Mytilus edulis: one gene and its partners. Each later gene encodes a partner of the first gene's protein in a complex. Links are inferred from orthologs where the notes say so. Each region holds a gene or a part of one and is shown in the gene's direction. Other genes may lie near its edges.

Evidence for each region.
Region 2: protein virilizer homolog (region 1) and RNA-binding protein spenito-like share a complex: the UniProt entries of both Drosophila melanogaster proteins name them as parts of the WMM complex. The link is inferred for Mytilus edulis from reciprocal best matches to the Drosophila melanogaster genes vir and nito.
Region 3: protein virilizer homolog (region 1) and N(6)-adenosine-methyltransferase non-catalytic subunit METTL14-like share a complex: the UniProt entries of both Drosophila melanogaster proteins name them as parts of the WMM complex. The link is inferred for Mytilus edulis from reciprocal best matches to the Drosophila melanogaster genes vir and Mettl14.

Annotation. Positions count from the first base shown.
Region 1 is NC_092348.1:85,678,886-85,685,811, reverse strand, and holds the start of protein virilizer homolog, read left to right. Parts: upstream 1-3,894; 5' UTR 3,895-3,951; coding exon 3,952-4,017; intron 4,018-5,187; coding exon 5,188-5,300; intron 5,301-6,830; coding exon 6,831-6,917; intron 6,918-6,926. UniProt on the Drosophila melanogaster protein: Associated component of the WMM complex, a complex that mediates N6-methyladenosine (m6A) methylation of mRNAs, a modification that plays a role in the efficiency of mRNA splicing and is required for sex determination.
Region 2 is NC_092344.1:101,822,190-101,829,970, reverse strand, and holds the start of RNA-binding protein spenito-like, read left to right. Parts: upstream 1-4,765; 5' UTR 4,766-5,040; coding exon 5,041-7,198; intron 7,199-7,781. UniProt on the Drosophila melanogaster protein: RNA-binding protein that acts as an associated component of the WMM complex, a complex that mediates N6-methyladenosine (m6A) methylation of mRNAs. M6a modification plays a role in the efficiency of mRNA splicing and is required for sex determination.
Region 3 is NC_092352.1:28,718,882-28,726,766, reverse strand, and holds the start of N(6)-adenosine-methyltransferase non-catalytic subunit METTL14-like, read left to right. Parts: upstream 1-4,817; 5' UTR 4,818-4,891; coding exon 4,892-4,957; intron 4,958-7,885. Other genes in the region: putative uncharacterized protein DDB_G0279653, read right to left, coding at 1,759-2,119, 2,319-2,734. UniProt on the Drosophila melanogaster protein: Non-catalytic component of the WMM complex, a complex that mediates N6-methyladenosine (m6A) methylation of mRNAs, a modification that plays a role in the efficiency of mRNA splicing and is required for sex determination.

The DNA of each region.
Region 1 (6,926 bases):
GATTTGATCAGTTTTTAAAGACCTCCCCTTATAATATACTCAAGTACATTGGAGCTCGGTATAAACCTCCCCTTGTAATATACTCAAGTACATTGGAGCTCGGTATTTTATAGACCTCCACTTGTAATATACTCAAGTACATTGGAGCTCGGTATTTAATAGACCTCCCCTTGTAATATACTCAAGTACATTGGAGCTCAGTATTTTATAGACCTCCCCTTGTAATATACTCAAGTACATTGGAGCTCAGTATTTTATAGACCTCCCCTTGTAATAAACTCAAGTACATTGGAGCTCGGTATTTTATAGACCTCCCCTTGTAATATACTCAAGTGCATTGGAGCTCGGTATTTTATAGACCTCCCCTTGTAATATACTCAAGTACATTGGAGCTCGGTATTTTATAGACCTTCCCTTGTAATATACTGAAGTACATTGAAGCTCGGTATTTTATAGACCTCCCCTTGTAATATACTCAAGTACATTGGAGCTCGGTATTTTATAGACCTCCCCTTGTAATATACTCAAGTACATTGGAGCTCAGTATTTTATAGACCTCCCCTTGTAATATACTCAAGTACATTGGAGCTCGGTATTTTATAGACCTCCCCTTGTAATATACTCAAGTACATTGGAGCTAGGTATTTTATAGACTTCCACTTGTAATATACTCAAGTACATTGGAGCTCGGTATTTTATAGACATCCACTTGTAATATACTCAAGTACATTGGAGCTCGGTGTTTTATAGACATCCACTTGTAATATACTCAAGTACATTGGAGCTCGGTATTTTATAGACCTCCCCTTGTAATATACTCAAGTACATTGGAGCTCGGTATTTTATAGACCTCCCCTTGTAATATACTCAAGTACATTGGAGCTCGGTATTTTATAGACCTCCCCTTGTAATATACTCAAGTACATTGAAGCTCAGTATTTTATAGACCTCTCCTTGTAATATACTCAAGTACATTGGAGCTCAGTATTTTATAGACCTCCCCTTGTAATATACTCAAGTACATTGGAGCTCAGTATTTTATAGACCTCCCCTTGTAATATACTCAAGTACATTGGAGCTCGGTATTTTATAGACCTTCCCTTGTAATATACTGAAGTACATTGAAGCTCGGTATTTTATAGACCTCCCCTTGTAATATACTCAAGTACATTGGAGCTCGGTATTTTATAGACCTCCCCTTGTAATATACTCAAGTACATTGGAGCTCAGTATTTTATAGACCTCCCCTTGTAATATACTCAAGTACATTGGAGCTCGGTATTTTATAGACCTCCCCTTGTAATATACTCAAGTACATTGGAGCTAGGTATTTTATAGACTTCCACTTGTAATATACTCAAGTACATTGGAGCTCGGTATTTTATAGACATCCACTTGTAATATACTCAAGTACATTGGAGCTCGGTGTTTTATAGACATCCACTTGTAATATACTCAAGTACATTGGAGCTCGGTATTTTATAGACCTCCCCTTGTAATATACTCAAGTACATTGGAGCTCGGTATTTTATAGACCTCCCCTTGTAATATACTCAAGTACATTGGAGCTCGGTATTTTATAGACCTCCCCTTGTAATATACTCAAGTACATTGAAGCTCAGTATTTTATAGACCTCTCCTTGTAATATACTCAAGTACATTGGAGCTCAGTATTTTATAGACCTCCCCTTGTAATATACTCAAGTACATTGGAGCTCAGTATTTTATAGACCTCCCCTTGTAATATACTCAAGTACATTGGAGCTCGGTATTTTATAGACCTCCCCTTGTAATATACTCAAGTACATTGGAGCTCGGTATTTTATAGACCTCCCCTTGTAATATACTCAAGTACATTGGAGCTCGGTATTTTATAGACTTCCCCTTGTAATATACTCAAGTACATTGGAGCTCGGTATTTTATAGACCTCCCCTTGTAATATACTCAAGTACATTGGAGCTCGGTATTTTATAGACCTCCACTTGTAATATACTCAAGTACATTGGAGCTCGGTATTTTATAGACCTCCACTTGTAATATACTCAAGTACATTGGAGCTCGGTATTTTTGTGATACTATTTTATAGTCTGAATATAAAGATATGAACAATACCTGTACTAAAATAAATATTCGAAGGACGTCGATCTACAAGGCATCATAATTTTCAACTATACAACAACAGACATCATATTTAACTCTACATCACCTGAGTCTTAAAAATGAAATAAAGATTGAAGAGTAGATAGCAAATATAACATCAAACTAAATTCTCTAATGACAAAACATTCAAATATAACAAACAGGAAAGAATATCACGAGTACAAGAACAAATACTATTATATACCGCTAAAAAATATGCTTGCAATTGCGAGAATCAAATACAAATAAATCAATATGTTGTCAGCTATAACTGATGTATCATGTATGATTTCCTGTTCCATTAGAGCTTGTTGTTGGATTCTGTAGATTTTTTTGTTGTTCTTGTCTATAGCTACCAGGTCATTTGTTAAATTGTACAGCACACAAAAATTCCTGTTGCCTTGTGCTTCGCTTGTAAGTTTTTCCATCCTAGTTCTTGTATCATGTTGATGTCACTTGGTCTTTTTCCATGTCTTCTTCTTACACACCGCGCAGTTAGCTCGTCTTTGTACTTTTTCGATTGTTACTTTGGGCTTTTACTGATATGGGTAGCATATTGTCGAAGCATATTCCATTGTTGGTCTTACGTATATCTTATAACCCTGTCTTTTTAGGAATCTTCAGACTATGTAGAGATTTCAGTGTTATCAACCAAGGTTTCTCTTGGCTTGCCTTTTCATATCGTTTATGTGTTTCTCTAATCTAGGTCGTTCGCGGATCATGCGGATGGCGCAGCCCATGCCATGTATTTAATTGATGATTCATGCTCCACTTACAGTATTTATATATTTTTTGCCTCACCCTCAATAAATATCATGTAATTTAAGTTCCAGGAATTTTATAACATACTTTTTTGTTCCATGCATATATATGTGGAACATATATTATGCAGAACAAATATACAATCTCACAGAATACTACCCCACCCCCCTTTTTCTCTGTGTCTTTTCAGTCTACTCTTACGCTGCTGCTTTACTGAGTGTCATATTTAAGTGTTTCAATTATAAGAAGAGGAAAATAACATGTCAATGTAAAGACGTATAAAATAATGACATATGTACGTGCTTGATCTTGATGTTTTTATTTATAGATGAAAATTTAAAACATGAACTGACCGCAATGCACATACTGTTTGATTATGATATGAAAAGTTGTCACATTATGCCAATCATGAATAGTATCTGCTATCATATTGACTCACGACAATCCGCTGACAAATTGGTTATATATTTTTGAAAACTGCAGTAATATATATTAAAATGCAACTGCTTACAATAGTGCTATATATTATAAATGTTTTATTGCTCGCACTATACCTAAATACATATTATATTTTTTGAATTATACAATCTTTCCACCGTCGTGATTCACAGGAATTTTGTCTCTGGAAAAAAACACTTTATACCCAGTGGCTGATCCAGAACTTCTTAGAAGGGGTCCACTGACTTACCGTATAATCACTCATTTTTTTTCTACAAAAGGGGGGGGGGGGGGGATCCGGCCGCGATCCCCCTTAGATCCGCCTATGATATCTTAATATATCATTAAAGGTATACTGTATAGGAAAACATTTTTCAATGAGAGACAGATTTCTGGGAATAATAATGTGGGAGTTTTCGACCACTGTGATTAATCGTTTTTATTATGCATATTTCTTTTGACCTGAGTTATATAAATAACACGGAATGTGGGTTATAATACAAACAATACGACAATTCACCTAACAATATTGAGATAGCAAAGACAATTATTCTCGTTCCGTATTTTCTGTACCAAACCATCTTCGATCCATTTTTTACTATTTCCAAAAAATGGCTGACACCGGGCAGGAACCCGAGTTGTTGTTTTTTGATACGTTTTCTCACGAAAGCGCTGAGGTATATGGTTTATAAAGAGTGTATTTATTCCAGTATCAAACACAAATAACTTTCATTCGTGTATAAATCCATTAAATGCAACATAAAATAGCCGCATTTGACGTGTATTATTATTTTTAAGGTTCATCATAACCTTTTGGCTAATATGGCCGTATTTACACCCCAAATTTTACTCTGGGTACAGACTAACCTATGCACTTGCAACAGTTTTAAGGGATGGCAGGAACTAGGTATATAAATTTTAAATGCATTTTATGTTTTAGAAAATTATAAACTTTTCTAGATTTTGCCTTCCAGTTTTTTTCGTTCCTGCAGAAGGTGCAAAAATTAACTAAGTAGTGAAAACGATTGAGAAGCTCCCCTCATATAATCAATGTTGTGAGTAGTATTGATTTAAATGGACAATGGATGGACAATAGACACCTGTAAACAATAGGTGATTTAAACTGTGTAACTGAGTGGACCGTATCAAATGAAACTCGGGTGTTTGTTTATTTTGCTATCTTCTGCAGACTGAAAAAAACTGGACATGAAAATCCAGGTAAGTTTTTAATTTTCTGAAACGTAGACTTCGTATAACTTTTATATATCTAGTTCCTGCCATGCCTTAAAACTTTCCTGGATGTACCAGTTTGTCTGCACTCATAGTAATTTTTTAGGTGTAAACACGGCCATATTTTTCAATTCCTTATGATGAACCTTAAAATGAAACTGGATCTAAAAAATATTACATTTATTATCTTTTTAGTTGCATCGATGGATTTGTGTCAAAGCATCATTTTAAATTATTTTTAAATATGTACACATTTATTCATGAGCTGTTCATTAGAAACCGCTTTGTCATAGTTTGATCAACATCATGGTTCATCACATATAATATGAATTAATTGATTTAATAATTATCCGATTGGGCACAGACACTTGTTTCTATCCATGGGAAGGGTGATTATCTATATAAATAGAAGAAGGTGGCCTACAATTTTTTTATAGGTCACAACCATTTCCACTTTGGATGCTTTTTGTACCCTTTAACAAATGCAAAAAATCCCTACCTTGCATGAATCAATGCATTGAATATTTTACTTTAACACTAAACAAATTTTATATTCCCCACAGTGTTCCTCTTCACACTGGAGAATTTGTATTCACTTTCTTTTATTCTCTTTATAGGAGTTAAATTTAGACTTGGTACAGTTTCCAAGGCCAGTTATTATTCAGGAAATCAGGGTAATACCCCTGCAAACCAAAGTTGAAGCAGATGTACCAGGAGGTGTTAGGCTAGGGTAAGCTACATGTACATCAAGTAAAAGATAAAGGATCAGAATAATGATCTTGATGATTAGAGACATATGCATGTACACAAACTATTAGTAAAAGGAATAAAATGTACTTCCATGTCTTGAATACAACAATGCAACATACAGTGTGTTCACTGTGTTGACCATTGTCCAGAAGACCTCTGGACCAGCAACGTCTCAGAAGTAACATTGTATCCAAGATCAATGTCACCTTATATTTTGCCTAGAAAAAGACAACTACATGTATTCTTAGATGACAATAATCTAAATTTAATTTAAGTTATATGTACATGTATATATTGTATTTCAATTTTCTCTTCTGCATATAATACTTTTTTGAAGCCCTGAAAGTGTTGAGAAAACAGCATAACCAGCAACATCTCGGAAGTAACATTGTATCCAAGGTTGACGTCATCTTATCTTTTCTTCTTAACTAGTATACACCAAAATGCAAAGCTGTTGTTTTAATATTTATTAGAGTTTAGTTAGATAATAAGAAATCATCCCCACAACCATGTACCTGTAGCAGCACTTATTCATCCCATGCAGTATTCGAAAAGAAAAACAATATTAGTTTAAAGGGAAGAACTTTTTTTACAAAGCCAAATTTTACAAATATTAAAAATACTCTAGATCTGCAGTTCAGTAAACATGGTAAAGTGGTATTAAAAGTTTGAAAACAGAACATAACAATTAAAACATTCATAACCTGTTAAATCTATACATATATTTGTATTCCTTGGGATTGGTTATTGAAACAAGAAATTTCAAATATTTGAAGGGTTTATACTACTATCATGACTAGGCAAAAAAAAATGAAAATGATAACATGGCAATGAAAATACATGTACCTACATTGTAACTATCAGCAGAAAGTTTTCCTTACTATTTCAATTGTGACAGTTGGTCCTCAGAGTGATCATAGTACAAAATTTAGTTCATTTACAGTAATCACTAGCCTGTCCACTTTTAACATGGTGATTCAAATTCCATTCAAAACTACCCTGTTCATATTAAACAAATGATTGACATATATAGTTGTATGGTTCTCTCCAGGTTCACAAGCTTCCTCTACCAATAAGAATCAGTCACCATCATGATATTGCCAATGCTGCTAAAAATGGCGTTAAACACATACAAAAAAAAATTGTGACATGAAATTATTAAGTTATGTACATCTATATATACATATGTATGTACATGTAGATCTAGGAAGGTTTTATTTTTCATTTTGAAACTCCTTGAAATACTGTTCTTAAAGTGATTCTTCTCTACTTTGGATTGATTATTAATTGTTGAATAAAAAAATCAATGACTTAGTGGTATAGGTGAACCTGGGATTTAAATGTTTGACTAATTGCAAATTTTGTTTAGTCTTGGTAAGAAGAGCTTGTTAAAACCATGAAATATGATATCAATGATGAAACAGTTTTTCCTTAAGCCATGAAAATTGATATCCAAAAAAACAATTGAATCCACAGTATTCTTAAGTTTTGTTTTTTTATTTTATTTCAGGGCTACTAACCCATCTATATTCAAGTTAGAACTATTTGTCAACAACCTCAGTAAACCTAATGCAGCTACCTTTGAGAGTCTTGGAGTGTAAGTTAG
Region 2 (7,781 bases), on another chromosome or scaffold:
ATTGGTACCGTTAATGTTATTATTGCACCGAGGTTGTGACTGCATGGTTGCTATAAAAAATAACGCATAGCTGAGAGGATGATGATGGAGTAGATTGTTACTCCAAGAAAACATTTTCAATATTTTTTAGAAATGGTGGGTTAGTAAAGGAAGAAAATAAATGGTTTTATGATGATGTACACATAGATATATAGTTAACAAATTTACTTATCTAGCTTTGTTCTTAATTTTAATGGAACATTTTCTGTTGCACAAAAAAAAAGTTGCTGAATACTTCAGGCAGAGAAGCTATGTTTTGTTTATTTAGTAATATTAGACAATATTTATTTACATGTAATGATTTAAAACTAACCAATCTTTTGCTACATTAATTTGCGTATTTCGTCTTCTTTACCCTACAAGAAACTTTCCTAGGAGCCGTGGATTGCGGTATATCGTCCGAATATTTTCAAAACGTTCACGTAAATTGATGGCGTCGTGTGTTAAAACAGTTTTTGGCCAATCATCAAATCGGTAAACATCATTTAATATGCACGGTCGGATGACCCTTTAAACCGAATTCCTACGTCGTCCGGGTTAATAAGGGTCACCGAGCCGCGCAGATTGAAAGATATATACCGACTTGCTTGGTCAATAACTTTAACATAGTCACTAGGAAATTGTGTAAATTTAAATATTGGATTAAGGTATTGAATTACGACAATTGTATATTACTTGGTTGTTACAATTATTTATATGATATCTGTTTGAAGAATCCAAATGACTGATAAGAACTGGGTTTGTAATCTACGAGGAGAATTGTTCCACCTTAGTTTAAAATGATTTGTGGTTTTCGTCAAACTGATTATTCTGTATGCAAACATCATATTATAGTTATAAACAGAGACTGTGTGACATTGTCAAACAAGAGTTTGATGCTACTTTAGATAGTTCATCAAAATGTTTTTTGTATACATGTAGATATATGATATCAAATTTTTCTTTGCACACATATGTATGTAAACCAATACCCAAAATTTACAAAAGTGTATTGCTAAATTTGTTTGTTTGCTTTTTGGCCTTGAATGTTTGTCCCTAATATTTTATTAACTGTGCATTTGCATGCAGATATCGCAGATCAAATATATTAGATTGTCATCATCTAATATAGCTTTTTCAAAAGTGATTTTTTTCAAAGGGTTAGATATTTCGCAGTGGTGTCTTGCCATGGCTTTGTTTGGACTTGTTTGTTTGCTTTTTGGCCTTGAATGTTTGTCCCTAATATTTTATTAACTGTGCATTTGCATGCAGATATCGCAGATCAAAATTATTAGTTCATAGTTTGTTAATTTACGTTTTTTGATTGAGTTAAGCCTGTCAATTGATAATTTATCGTGTGTTTTTCTATGTTGTGATGTTATGCTATTATTTTAGAAAAAGGGAGAAGGTTTGATACCATTAAAACCTTTAATCCCGCTGCAAATGTTTGCAGTCAGGAATCTTATGTACAGTAGTTATCGTTTGTTTATGTAATTTATACGTGTTTCTCGTTTCTCCTTTTTATATAGATTAGACCGTTGGTTTTCCCGATTGAATGGTTTTACACTAGTAATTTTGGGGCCCTTTATAGCTTGTTGTTCGGTGTGAGCCAAGGCTCCGTGTTGAAGGCCGTACATTGACCTATAATGGTTTACTTTTATAAATTGTTATTTGGATGGAGAGTTGTCTCATTGGCACTCACACCACATCTTCTTATATTTATATAGGAAAGGTAAGGTATTCTAATGTAAATATAAACCTTAGAATCTGTACATTGTGTCTAGATGATATAGAGAGGATGAAATGCATTTTATCTAATCATGTCCTTCATATTCAGCATTGCGTGAAAATTTGATAAAACCATATTATTGGCGTTAGCCATCTATTCATAAATCTTTACAAATTGTTATGATATTGTAATTATTATATTTATTTATGTTGGCCTAATTTGTGTTGTGTGGCCTGATAGTTGTTTACAAAAAAGTCTTATAACTGTACAGTTTAGAAATCACTGGAACAATCACAGAATGATTGGAACTTTCCATTTGACTTACATAATGATTCCAGAAGGATCCTAATAAAAGATGCGTAATTTAAACTTCTACATTTTACTAGAAACATCCGTTGTAACTTTCTAGGACGTTCCATTTCTAGAAATTTCCGTGATAACTATACATATTTCTTCTTTCCATCTAGTGTAACATTGTTATTTTTTATAACATTTTACCCTTTGAGTATTAAAATATGAAATGTTCTTATTAGGAAACGGATTAATATAAGCTAAGAGCTTGTTTCTGGATCCTATTAATTATTTCACTTGTATTATTATGTAAATGCCTATGTATGTACCTGAATATAATTAATAAAATATGTTTACACTAACTATACATATACGGACACTAAAGTCTCAGACTTAGACATCGATAGAAATTAGTATTCACAGCATTTTGATTCACACTTTTATTCTACAAACAACCTCAGACTGGATTGTGACCTTAGTAGTGAACGTAATATTCAGATTAGATTCTGAGAAGATTTCCGGATACAGATAAAGAAAAAAGACTGGACTCATATTTTGACAGTTTAAAGTTGACAGTAATATTGGTGTTATACTTCTTGTAAACTTTTGTATAATAAATCTTGTTAAATTTTATAATTGACTGTGTCTTTTGTTGGCCACAATTTAAAGGTGCTTTCTGACTGATTGAAAAGACTTATGCAAGTTAGGAAAATATATATTTAGAGCACTGTTCAAAGCTCTAAAATGACTGTTTTTAAGTTGATATGTAATCAATTGTTACATGTATTTGTTATTTGTTATTATATTTACATTTCTGTCTGTTTTGTCATGATCGTACAATTTTGTAATCTAAATTAAGTATATGTTGAAAAACATTTGGTTAATAAAGAATTGAAAAAATAATGAAATAATAAGTCGTTGTGAGTCGGCGGACACGGATCTGTATTTTAATTAAATAGGATAATCGTACTCCATATGTTTATGATATTCAAGTAACCCGAGTTAACAGTACGTCAGTCGTTGGATTCTGTGCATTTGTGGTGTGGCGTCTACTTAAAGGCAAACTTTACATTTATTTGCATTTTTACTTTTCGTGTGTTTCCTAAATATAGTTTGTTTAGCCACAGCTTTTTTGAACTGGGATCCACTGGCGGATCCAGAAATTTTCATAAGTGGGGCCCAGTGACTGCCTAAGAGGGGGCCCACTCCAGTCACGCTTCAGTGATTCTCTTTATAAGCAACCTTTTTTTCAAAAAAAGGGGGGCGGGCCCCTGCCCCCCCCCCCGGCCCTAAATCCACCTCTGGGATCCGATAAACTCAAACAAAAACAGAAAGCGTTGCTTCTGTTTCACCTAGAACCTTTCCTTCGCATGTCAATGATGTCGGGTATTTACAGACATTAAACAAGAAAAAACACAACCAAACATTTTGGCATTCTACTACAAAAGAAAGTTACAAATGGCAAATTTTAGGCACCATGATTGGTAAATATCAATTTTAGATTGTGCTAGTGCTAAATGCGTGCATGGCGGCTTTGATTCCTTTTTCCGGGTTGCTTTTACTTTTCTTATCACTGTTTTTAAATGATATGAATGGTTTTACACTAGTCATTTTGGGGCCTGTATGGCTTACTGTTCGGTAGTGATCCAAGGCTCCCTTGTGGAAGACCGTACTTTGACCTATAATGGTTTTTCTTTTACGAATTGTGACTTGGATTGAGAGCTGTCTCATTAGCACTCATATCACATCTTATATCTATTTTGTAGTTCTTTTCTTTTTGTTGAAATAAAAAAGAAAGAAGTGAGAATCAGTATTTCCGTGACGTGAACGCTAATTCTTCCCACTTATAAAAACGGTAAGTCCTGATGATTTAAGTCACGCCACCTCATAGCCAATAAAAATGATTTAGATATGTATGCTCGAACTACAAATATACTGAAAGTGTAACAAACATGATTAACACACTTCACTGGCCAACATTACAAGAAAGGAGACTCAAAAGCAGATTAAATATGTTCCATAGAATAACAAACAACAAAATTGTCATACCACATACTGACATATAAATTAAAAGCCAATCAAACACCAGGTCTAGCCACGAACAAACATACCGACAAATTCAATGCAGCAAAGACAGTTACAAATTTTCATTTTTCTGCCAAACTATAAAAGACTGGAACAAATTACCTGAACCAATAGCCTGCAGCATGTTTAATATGTATCTTGTTTTTTTTGTTTTTTTTTTATCTCATACCAGAAGAAGAAGAAGAAGAAGAAGAAGAAGAAGAAGAAGAAGAAGAAGAAGAAGAAGAAGAAGAAGAAGAAGAAGAAGAAGAAGAAGAAGAAGAAGAAGAAGAAGAAGAAGAAGAAGAAGAAGAAGAAGAAGAAGAAGAAGAAGAAGAAGAAGAAGAAGAAGAAGAAGAAGAAGAAGAAGAAGAAGAAGAAGAAGAAGAAGAAGAAGAAGAAGAAGAAGAAGAAGAAGAAGAAGAAGAAGAAATAACGTATTATAACCCTTTTTATAAGTGAGCGATTTTTTTTTAAATGGGGCGAGTTGGTGATTTGTTGTGGGGCGATTTGTCCTGCTTCAAAGCGCAGATATTTTTGTTTATATTTCTATTCTTATCGAAAAATATGGAGGGAAAAAAGAATGTTTAAAAATGAGTGCTAGACGGGTACGAATACGGACAATAATCATGCTTTTCTACAAACCACCATCCACGCCCCCGGAAGTACTAATTACAACCATATTATCACATTTTGAAGCGCAAAATAGATCACAAAATAGATACACACATACTAAAAACATTAATGTTTCAAAAGTGTCAGCGATATAAAATATAAGTATTCGTACCTGTCTCTGGTAAATGCATGAGCAAAACCAATAATATTATGACAGGTTATTATATTTTGACTTACGCGCAGTAATCTGTTGAAAGAAATATGTCTACACGAATCGCGTCCTGAAATAAGATTTTGTCGAAGAAAGCAAATAATACTGCAAAATGAAGCGTTCACCTATGAGAGACCATTCCCCTATAAGTAAAAGGTCCAGGTCATCATATCGCATGTCAGATCATGATATGGGCAGAGGCATGTCACCAGATATGTACGACCGAAGAGACCCTCGCAGAGACATGGTTATGAAAAAATCTTACCGTAACATTGATCATGAAATGGACCGTCCTCGTGCTAAATACAGAGATGACCGAATGGATTATTCCCCACCTTCTAGGCCTGATACTAGACACCAACCAGACTTTAGATCTATTTGTATAAGTAATATCTCTGGGAAAATCCCTGTTCCCGTCTTGAAAGAGACCCTCTATCACGAGTTCAAAAAATTTGGAGAATTCAATGTTAATGTTACATATAGTGGTGATATTAGAGTAGCTTATATAAACTTCAGGTACCCAGAAGATGCACGTGAATCTAAACATTTGAAATCCAAACTTGTTCTCTTTGATCGTCCTGTAAGAATAGAAGCTGTGTATCAAAAGAAACGAAGCCATAGCCCCGGAAACGATAATTTTCATTATGAGCGCCATGACAATTATGGTAGCAGTAATTATAGAGGAAGGGGATCTTTTAGAGGATATCCTAGCAGTAGAAGACCATCTGGTCGTGGATTTTACCAAGGACCTCCTCGCAACATGCCTCCAAGGGAAACCCCAGATTTTAATCAAGGAGACTCATATAATGCTCCTAAACGAAATGACAAATTCCCATATCATCTAGATCATATCCAGCCAGAGGATGACGAAAATGCAACCAGGACATTATTTGTAGGCAATCTTGATTACAATATTTCTGAACAAGAATTAAAAACAGTGTTTGGGAGATATGGAACAATAGAAGATACCGATATAAAAAGACCTCAAAGAGGCACTGGAAATGCTTATGCCTTTATAAAGTTCATAAATTTAGACTGTGCTCACAAAGCCAAAGTGGAACAATCTGGCCAGTATATTGGCAGGTTTCAGTGTAAGATTGGTTATGGTAAAGTGACTGCAACAACTTGCTTATGGGTTGGTGGTCTTGGTTCATGGATTACACATGAAACACTTGAACAAGAATTTGATCGATTTGGGATGATAAATAGAATAGAATGGCCTAGAGGTAAAGACTATGCCTATGTTTTATATGATAATTTAGATGCTGCTCAAGCAGCTTGTCAAGAAATGCGTGGTGCCCCAATGGGAGGAACCGAGAATAAAAAACGTCTTCGGGTTGATTTTGCAGATCCAAATCATATCATGATACCCGAAAATCAAGACAGCACTCATCGTGATGGTAATTCCTTGTATGAAGAATCAAGACGTGAAGGTAAAGAAAGTAGAACAAGGGAAGAATGGCGTGAAAATGATAATAGAAATCCTGACATTGAACTTAAACATAGTGGTAGTTGGGAAGAAGGTAGAAAAAGACCTTTATCTCCAGACGAGTACAGGAGGAGGAAGATATCAACTTCACCTGATCAAAGGTTTAGTAAGGGCCCTGAGTCTAGAGGTAGATCAAGAGAGAAAAAAGCACTTTTTTCACAAGAAAGAGAACTTGGTGAAATTGATCCTCATGACGATTCAAGGAAAGAAAGGAAGAACTCAGTTGACAGTTCAGACATGGGTATTGAAAATGTAACTTCAATACCAGATCTTGCAAAGTGTTTACCTGTTGCATGGAATGGTGCAGTCATTTTGAAAAATAGTGCTTTTCCTGCTAGAATGCATGTTGTAAGTGGAAATGTAACCATTGTTGATACCCTAATGAGAGATCCTAATTCAACAGAAACACCAGTGTTAAAGGTCAAACAGAGATTAAGGCTTGACCAGCCTAAATTAGAAGACGTTGGAAAACGTGTATCCAGTGCTGGAAAATTAGGACATTGTATTTTGCTAGCTATGACAAGCACACTTCAAAACTATGAAGACCCGAGTGTTCAACAAAGACCATTAAAAAATTTAGTTAGTTACTTAAAACAGAAAGAGGCAGCAGGTGTTATCTCCCTTCCTTCATATGAGTCAAAGGACAAAGATGATGTTGGTGTTCTATACGCATTTCCTCCATGTGAATTTGGCTACAAATTTTTGACCAGTAAAGCGACCCATCTTCCAAGTGAATTAGTACCAGATGATTATATGGTCATAGTAGTTGTTACTGGCGCAGGTTAATTTAAATATATTTTTTTACATCATTTCTAAATTAAGAATTTACATTTATAGATGTTTATATAAAAAAGTTAAATGGATCTTAATTCTAATTTTGACATAACTTTTAATCTTCAGTTAATCTGTTTCTTACTTTATAATTTATCAGTATTCTCTTCTGATTGTCGTTATGTCAAATATAGAATATTTGTATGATATTTATTTTTGAAACTTTAGAAAAAATATTGTGAATATTTTAAAAGTGATCAGACTGGGATGAATGACAATTTTACAATTCAGGAAAGTTAAATACATTTTTCAGGTGCGGATCCAGAGGGGGGGTTCTGGGGGTTGGAACCCCCCTTTTTTTTGACCGATCAATGCATTTGAATGGGAGCATATAGCTGGAACCCCCCCTTTACTCTGGGTTGGGAACCCCCCCTTTTTAAAATGGCTGGATCCGCCCCTGATTTTTGTACTACCAGTCATGCCAGTGCTTTTTATTTTTCCTTCATTGTATAATTTGTTATCATTGTTCATTTATAATTGAAATGGAATTAAGTAAGGTCAAATATTCTTTTACATTTGTTTGGTTTTTAAAC
Region 3 (7,885 bases), on another chromosome or scaffold:
TAAACCGGTCAAATATAGACCTATCTCATTAACTTGTATATTCTGCAAGTTAAGGGAACACATAGTAACATCACATATTATGAAACATCTCGAATCAAATAACATCTTGTATGACCTCCAACATGGCTTTCGGCACTCTTGATATTGCGAGACATAACTTTTCTCCTTCATCTAAAAACTTCAATCCACAAACAATTCAAATACACAAAGAAACCTTGTAATAATGGACTTTGCGAAGGCCTTTAATAAAGTTCCGCATCGTCACTTAGTTACTTTACAAATTACACTACTAAATATTTTGGCATTAATGGAAACACTTTAAACTGGATCTCTGCATTTCTCTCCGATCGAACCCAAACAGTTGTTCTGGATGGAAGATCATCAAGCACAGTCCCAGTCACCTCTGGGGTTCCACAAGGTACTGTCTTAGGTCCAGTATTATTCTTGGCTTATATTAATGACCTTCCAGACTACCTTACAAACTAAGATTACTTGCTGATGACAGCATCATATATATGCCAGTTAAATCCTAGAGTGACTGTTTAAAACTGCAAGCTGACCTTGATGCAGCTGCAAAATGGGAGGAGGACTGGATGATGGCCTCCCACCAAGACAAGTGTAATGTTCTCTCTGTCACAACTAAACGTCAACCTTTACAACATAATTACACTCTTCACAATCATATTTTAGAATCTGTTACATCTGCTAAGTACTTACATTACAATCAAACCTTAAATAGGACAAACACATAGATGACAATATCTCGAAAGCCATCAAAACACTCTGAACAACACTCAATTCAGTAGCTTCCTGTAAAATGTTTATGATATCAATTGCTTGTTGTTCTACATCAGTTTCCTTTTTGCATTTCAGTCTTCTTCCTCACTTGAATTACCTTTGGTTGGTAATTTTCTATGTTTTTTTCTTCCCATTTCAGAATAGTTTTCTTTTTGCTTGTTGTGCTGATCATCTAAGTTTTCCCCTTAACGATCAGGTTGTGTTTTGCCTTTACTGGTACATGTGCTGAACTGTTAAGTAGATGTTGGTCCATAATCGCTGAATCCAAAAGATTACTGCCTCTGAAGTTGTACTCTATCTGCGAGGTGGAATTTTTATTATGGTGATAAAAAGTAGGTTTGTGAGTATTTTTAACTATGCTTTTAATAGCTGATGTTGACTGCAGAAGTTCTTAAGCAAATTGTCATGGTTATTATTTCTACTTTGCATGAGTGTTCCATTCAAATCCCCCACTATGAAGACATTGTGTGTTTGCTCATATTTATCAATAATTGACGAAATTTTATCCAGTTGTTCTCTGTACTCTTTGTCTGATCCTGTTGCCATTGTTGGCATATATCTATTAATTAGGATTACTTTAACTGGTTCAGACTAAATTTCGATGACTATTCTTCTTTTTCTAGCTTCCTGATCTTATGTGAGATTGTTGGAGGCCATATAGTTATTACTCCCCCATTCCCCCTTCTTCTTTGTAGTTCCAAATCAACTAGATTATCATCAAAGCTTGAGATATGATAGTCGCAGTCTGGCAGAATTTCTTTTAGTGCGACTAATTCATATCCGTGTAACCAATGCAAGCATAGAATTGTGTTTGTTTTTAAAAGTTCTTTCAGATATACATTGCTGCCTTTCATTCTCTCAATGTTCATTGAGACAATGTCTAGCATTGTCTCAGTAGTATTTCGGTCTCCTGTCCAAGTTTTTGGATGTCTGGTGGTTCCTTTGGTTGGTCTATTTTCCCTAAAAATACTGTTTTGGCTTTTCTTCTTCTGTTGAATGTTGAGGAAGGTTCATTGAAGGATGGTCAACATGTTGATTATTAGGAACTGTTATTTCAGTGTCAGGAGTTGCAGTAATTGTTGGTGTTTCTTTTAGGTTTTGTTCTTCATTTAGCAGAGACTCTGGATTTGTAAGTTTATCAAATGCTTGGGTCAGTTTAATTTCTGTTTCGGCATGACTTAGCGGACTTGAGCTACCTTCTGATTTGGACTTTTCTTTTCTTTGCCCATTATCACTGTGTCTTTCTACTGATATTTTGTTATGGTTATAGAGATTACTATTCTGTTGATAAGGTGGTGGTGGCACTCTCGGCAGTCCTTGTCTTAGTAGATCATCGTGATGCACTGAGTTGTAGTGTAATTAATCAATTTGACTGACTTGGTCTTGCCTTGAATAAAACTGGAGTTGACCGTTTAAATAAGATTGACCTTGTCCATTAGTATAGGGATCATTTTGATGTCGACTTTTTCCAGAGTTGTACCCTTTTGTTATCATTTTGCTGATGTTGTTCAGAGTTATACCCTCTTGGATCATTTTGAAGATGTTGATTTTGTCCAGAGTAATACCCTCTTTGGTCTTTTTGTTGTTGCCGATGTGGTCCAGAGTTAAATCTTCTCAGATGATTTTGGTGAATTTGACTTTGCTCTGAGTTATATTGATACCCTCTTGGATCATTTTGTTGATGTTGACCTTGCCAAGAGTTCAAACATCCTGGGTCATTTTGATGTTGTTTTTGATTTTGTCCAGAGTTAAACCCTCTTGGATCAGCTTGATGTTGGCTTTGTTCAGAGTTATACCTTTTTGGATCCATTTGATGTTGATTTTGTCCAGAGTTATACCTTCTTTGGTCATTTTGATGTAGAATTTGTCCAGAGATATACCCTCTTGGATCAGTTTGATGTTGGATTTGTCCAGAGTTATACCCTCTTGGATCCATTTGATGTTGATTTTGTCCAGAGTTATATCTTTATAGCTGCTTTAGCCTCATATCCATCATTTGCCCATGCATTTCTTGTTTTATCTGTTTTTGAAGCTCATCTCTCATTTGATCTATATTGCTTCTATTCAGATTTTCTTGTTCTATATTTGGTTGCCTTTTCATGCTATTGATGTTATCTGCTGGCTGTCCATTACTTTGAATGATCTCCGTGTTTTTCTTTAGTAAATCTATTGTTTTGTCTTGATTCTTAATGCGCTATTCTAATGAGCTTATATAAGCTATCTGTTCTAATTCAAGTTTCCGGTTTTGCTGGTTTTTCTTGTTGCTTCTTTTAACCGTTTGTTTCTGGTTCTGTTTATCTATATTTCTATTGTTTCCATATGCACTTAAAATAGCACCTTCCAATGGCTGAGTTTAAAACTGAGGTTTGCTCCTCCACAGGGTGCAGAGATTGTCTATTCATTGTGTCTGATTCTCCCACAGGATTTAAACATATTGATGGGAGCAGTTTTTACCACAGAACACCACAGAATACCAAAGAAACACCATAGAATACCTCATATTTTCCTGGCATTACAAAAATTCTGAAAAACATGAACCCTCACAAAGCCACCGGTCCAGACAACATTAATGGTTGAGTTCTAAAAGAACTACACAAACAAATAGCACCAATACTGCAGCTCATATTCAAAAAGTCATTTCACGCTAGGCAAACTCCAACATACTGGATGCATGCTAACGTCGCTCCAGCTTTTAAAAAAGGAGATAAACACAAAGCAGTAAACTACCGACCTATTTCATTAACTTGCATCTGTTGCAAGTTAGGAACACATAGTCACAAAACATCTTATGAATCACCTCGAAAATAACAACATCCTCTATGATCTCCAACACGGCTTCCGAAATTCACGCTCATACGAAACTCAACTTCTTTCCTTCATACAAGAATTATCAGAAACAGACAATAAAAATTTCAAACAGATTTAGTTATTATGGATTTTGCTAAGGCATTTGATAAAGTTCATCACCGAAGACTTCTCTGTAAATTACAGTACTACGACATCTCTGGACAAACACTAAACTTGATAAAAGCATTTCTTTCCAACCGTACACAAACTGTTGTCATAGATGGAAAGTCATCCTCCCTGTCACTTCTGGTGTTTCACAAGGTACTGTATTGGGCCCTGTCTTGTTTCTGGTCTACATTAATGACCTGCCAGACTACTTGACCCACAGCATGCTCAGGCTATTCGCAGATGATACCATAATATACAGACCGATCAAATCCCAGAGTGACTGTGATAATCTCCAAGTAGATCTAGATGCGGCAGCTAGTTGGGAGAGGGACTGGCTGATGGCTTCAGTCCATCCAGATAAATGTACTGTGCTATCTGTCACCAAAAAGAAACGACCTATACAGCACAACTACATTGTAAATGGTCATACACTGGAATCAGTCACATCAGCTAAGTACCTTGGTGTCACAATACAGTCAAACCTAAAGTGGGATAAACATATAAATGACATTACATCCAGAGGCAACAAATCACTGGGTTTCCTACATATTCATACATCAAAAGAGTCCTACAGACATTCATACTTTCCATATTCAATATCACAGTGTAACCAGCTCCCTGTGGTACCAGGCACCATCCATTGATAGCTTCAAAGAACAGCTCACTTCAGCTGTTCTCTGTCTATTAATAAAAAGCATCAATTTAAATTGTATATAGTCATGATAGTTTTAATCACAAATTTGACATTTTATTGCACTTTAATTATATTTCGTTTAAATTGGGGTAAAAAATTGGTAAATAGTCCACGTATGCGAACTGTATGTAATCATCGAAGTCGATGGAATATTGTATACCTAAAGAAGAAGAAGATAAGTGGTGTCCTTTTATCGAACGTTGCTACGCACGATTTAAGAAATAAAATATTGGTATTTAGATATAAACGTAAAACGTAAAAACAAATGTCTTTTTATTTTTTCACTACTTTCAATGTCTTTTTTTGTATGGAAAAGTGATATTTTTCACTATCGAATGAACACGTTGACTCCTATGGAATAAGTTTGTTATAAGTAGTTGTCGTAAAAGTTCAATCGACTGGTATATTTAGGTACCAGACAAACCCAGCTAGTACGCGGAAAATATGGGTGATAGATTAAAAGAGCTGCGAGAAAGATCACAGAAAAGAAAACAGCTGCTTGCACAAGCAGTAAATGATTTTTAATCTCAATTTTTAAAATGAAAACTATGAAAGATTCAGTTGTTTACTGTTCATCCTTGTCTTTTGTTGAATGTTCTTAAACTTTCACTTTGATGAAAACAAGGATTTGTATAGCTATAAATCTTACTAAACAAATCCTTGTCATGAATAACTTCGGCTCTGTGAATTTATCATATCAATAATTTGTCTGCCATTACTGGTTTCAACAAAGGTTCCCTTAAAATTGTGACGTCTTTAAACAATAAACCTTATCGTTATTTGTTCGCCATTTAATACTGGACATCACACAGGATCCATTAAAATTTGACGTCATAATACAAAATACCTGTTGCCACCATGGAAAAGAGATTGTTGTATGACGTCAACAGGGCTCACACTACTTCAGAATTATAGGGAGAAGTGACTTCTCTTTTTGAAACTGATAGGGAGAAGTGGTGAGATTTGAAAGAGAAGTGCTCATTTGCATGGTACGCTACAATGTTTGGATTTTACAATAGTATAAAGGGCCATATGTAAATAATGTTCTTTTTATATTGTTCAATTCATACCTGAGTAAAAAAATTACAATTAAAGTAACAATTGAAATTAAAAGTTGTTTAAGTTTTACTAAGTAAGTTCTTGTGGGAAACTATCAACTAATTATCTAGCACTAAAAAAAAAAACAATTTTAAAAATGTAAAGAAATTATGATATATCAATTACAATTTAATTAAAAATTATCTTGTGTATGAAATTCAGTGTTTTTCATAAAAAAATATAAAATTTATTAAGCTGGGCCATAATATATTGATATTAGTATAATAGTCTCAGAGTTAAGCAACTTTAATCAATAGTTTAAAACAATCCATAAAAAATATAGGGAATTATATACACCAATCAATTAGATGTAACAAAAAGTCTCTTAATGCGAGTGGAATGCGTAATTTTTCCCTTTGGGATCAATATTCTTCTGTCAGCTGTTCCATCCGTGCGTCCGTAGTAATTATTGTAAAAGTACGGATTTCGGTCATAGCTTGTCCGGTTCAGATCAGTAGTTTAGAAATCGGTCAATGGCGGACGAATGAAAGAAAATTTACAAAAATAAACGATGTTTGACAAGTTATTTGGAAAGGAACATGACGTTTTTAATGCAATAAATGGATTAAACATTTACCGGAGGCAACCTTTATCACGTTTAAATGAAGTAACAAACTTATTTTGCCGCCGAAATTTAGGTTAATGTACGTTTTTGAGTAACAAGCCCCGGAACTTGCGGAGATGCACGAAGTGATAAAAAGTTGTATTTTTATCAAATAACCTGCTACACACTGCAAAGACAATGCTTCAACCTCTTTTCTAAAGATAATGAATCGTTTATGTCTGAATTTCTTTAATTATCAATAAAAAATTGATGTTTCATCAACTTGGTAAAAATTGAAAATTATGTCCGATGACGAAAGCGACTGAAAGCGAGTATCGTCAAGAACAGGGCGACTTGTTTTCGCTTTTGGGGGTTGGGGAAAACGGAGTGACGGTCGGGAAGGCGACTTCTTCGCCCAAGTCGCCTGGTAGCGTGAGCCCTGGTTGATTTTATACATTTTTTAGCCATCTGTACCTATATACAGGAATAGATATTTTCATGTGCCTTATAAAGATCTTTCTGAGTCTAGATAATCCACTATTTTTTTAACACTTATTACAATGCTACTTTCATTCTCGTCAAGCTGAAAAAAGTGGATGTTCAAAAGTCGGAACAATCATTGTTCATAGTTAAAAAATCCTGTTTAATTCAAATATAAAATTTCAAATTGTGAGTTTAGATTATTGTGATTTTAACCCTGTCACATTATCATGATTATATAAGCTACAGTCTCATTTTAAGATATGAAGAATTCCTTTTAATTGTTTAACAGACACATGAACATATATATATATTGACAGGACTTGACACTACCTAATTGTAGCAGATTTCATCTTCGCGTCATCATTTATAAAGATACAATGTGGAAATGGACATGTGTTAAAAATGTACTTGCTATTATCCTAATAATTTCAGATAATATCAATAAAATGTCATTCAAACTAAGTTTTATAGTAATGTTAGTGCATTGAACTTGTAATCTGTCACTTCATAATTGTTATAAGCACATTCATATCATCACAGAAGGGTACAGAATACAAACCATTCAATCAAAAAATGTTGCTGATGGCATTCCAAAACCATTATATAACATTTCACATCAAATAAACCACACTTATCTTGGTAAATTTACATGACAAAATATATCTACTTTATGATAAGACTTATATTTATATATGAATTATGTGTTTAACTCATACATGTGAACCTCCCGACCGGAGTACAATAATCCCGTTTTCAGGGGTTTCCTCCCGTCCTCCAGTTTAGGAGAAAAAAATCCTGTGTATGAAATATTTTATGAATGGAAATTTTTAGCCGCCTTTTTTTGGGATACGATTGCTTTTAAGCAATCTGTAGACGTATACCGTTGGCTCAGGGCCATGCCCTCACGTCAACCGTTTTATTCTAAACATTAAGGAACATCTCAGATTCTTATGATTGTCTTGCTTTAAATGGTAAAAACAAACAAAGGGATTGAACTTTAACTTTCCTTCAATGTTCTTTTCATAATCTTCATGTTTGATATTTCCCTTGACTTATATGCATGTTTTTAACAACACAGAAAATCAGAATTAAGCAGTATTTATATTTAGTGTTTTTATAAATTTAGAAACATGTCAGAGGGAATTCCCCAGTTTTGATAAAAATGCGAGAGTTCTCTGAATTCCGATAAATCTATTTATAGATCATATACATGTAAGAACTGAAGTGGAGATTTTCTTATGCATGTTTTATGTCACCGTTATGAAACTGATATTTGATATTGTACTGCCATAAAGAAATAGAGAACCATCTAG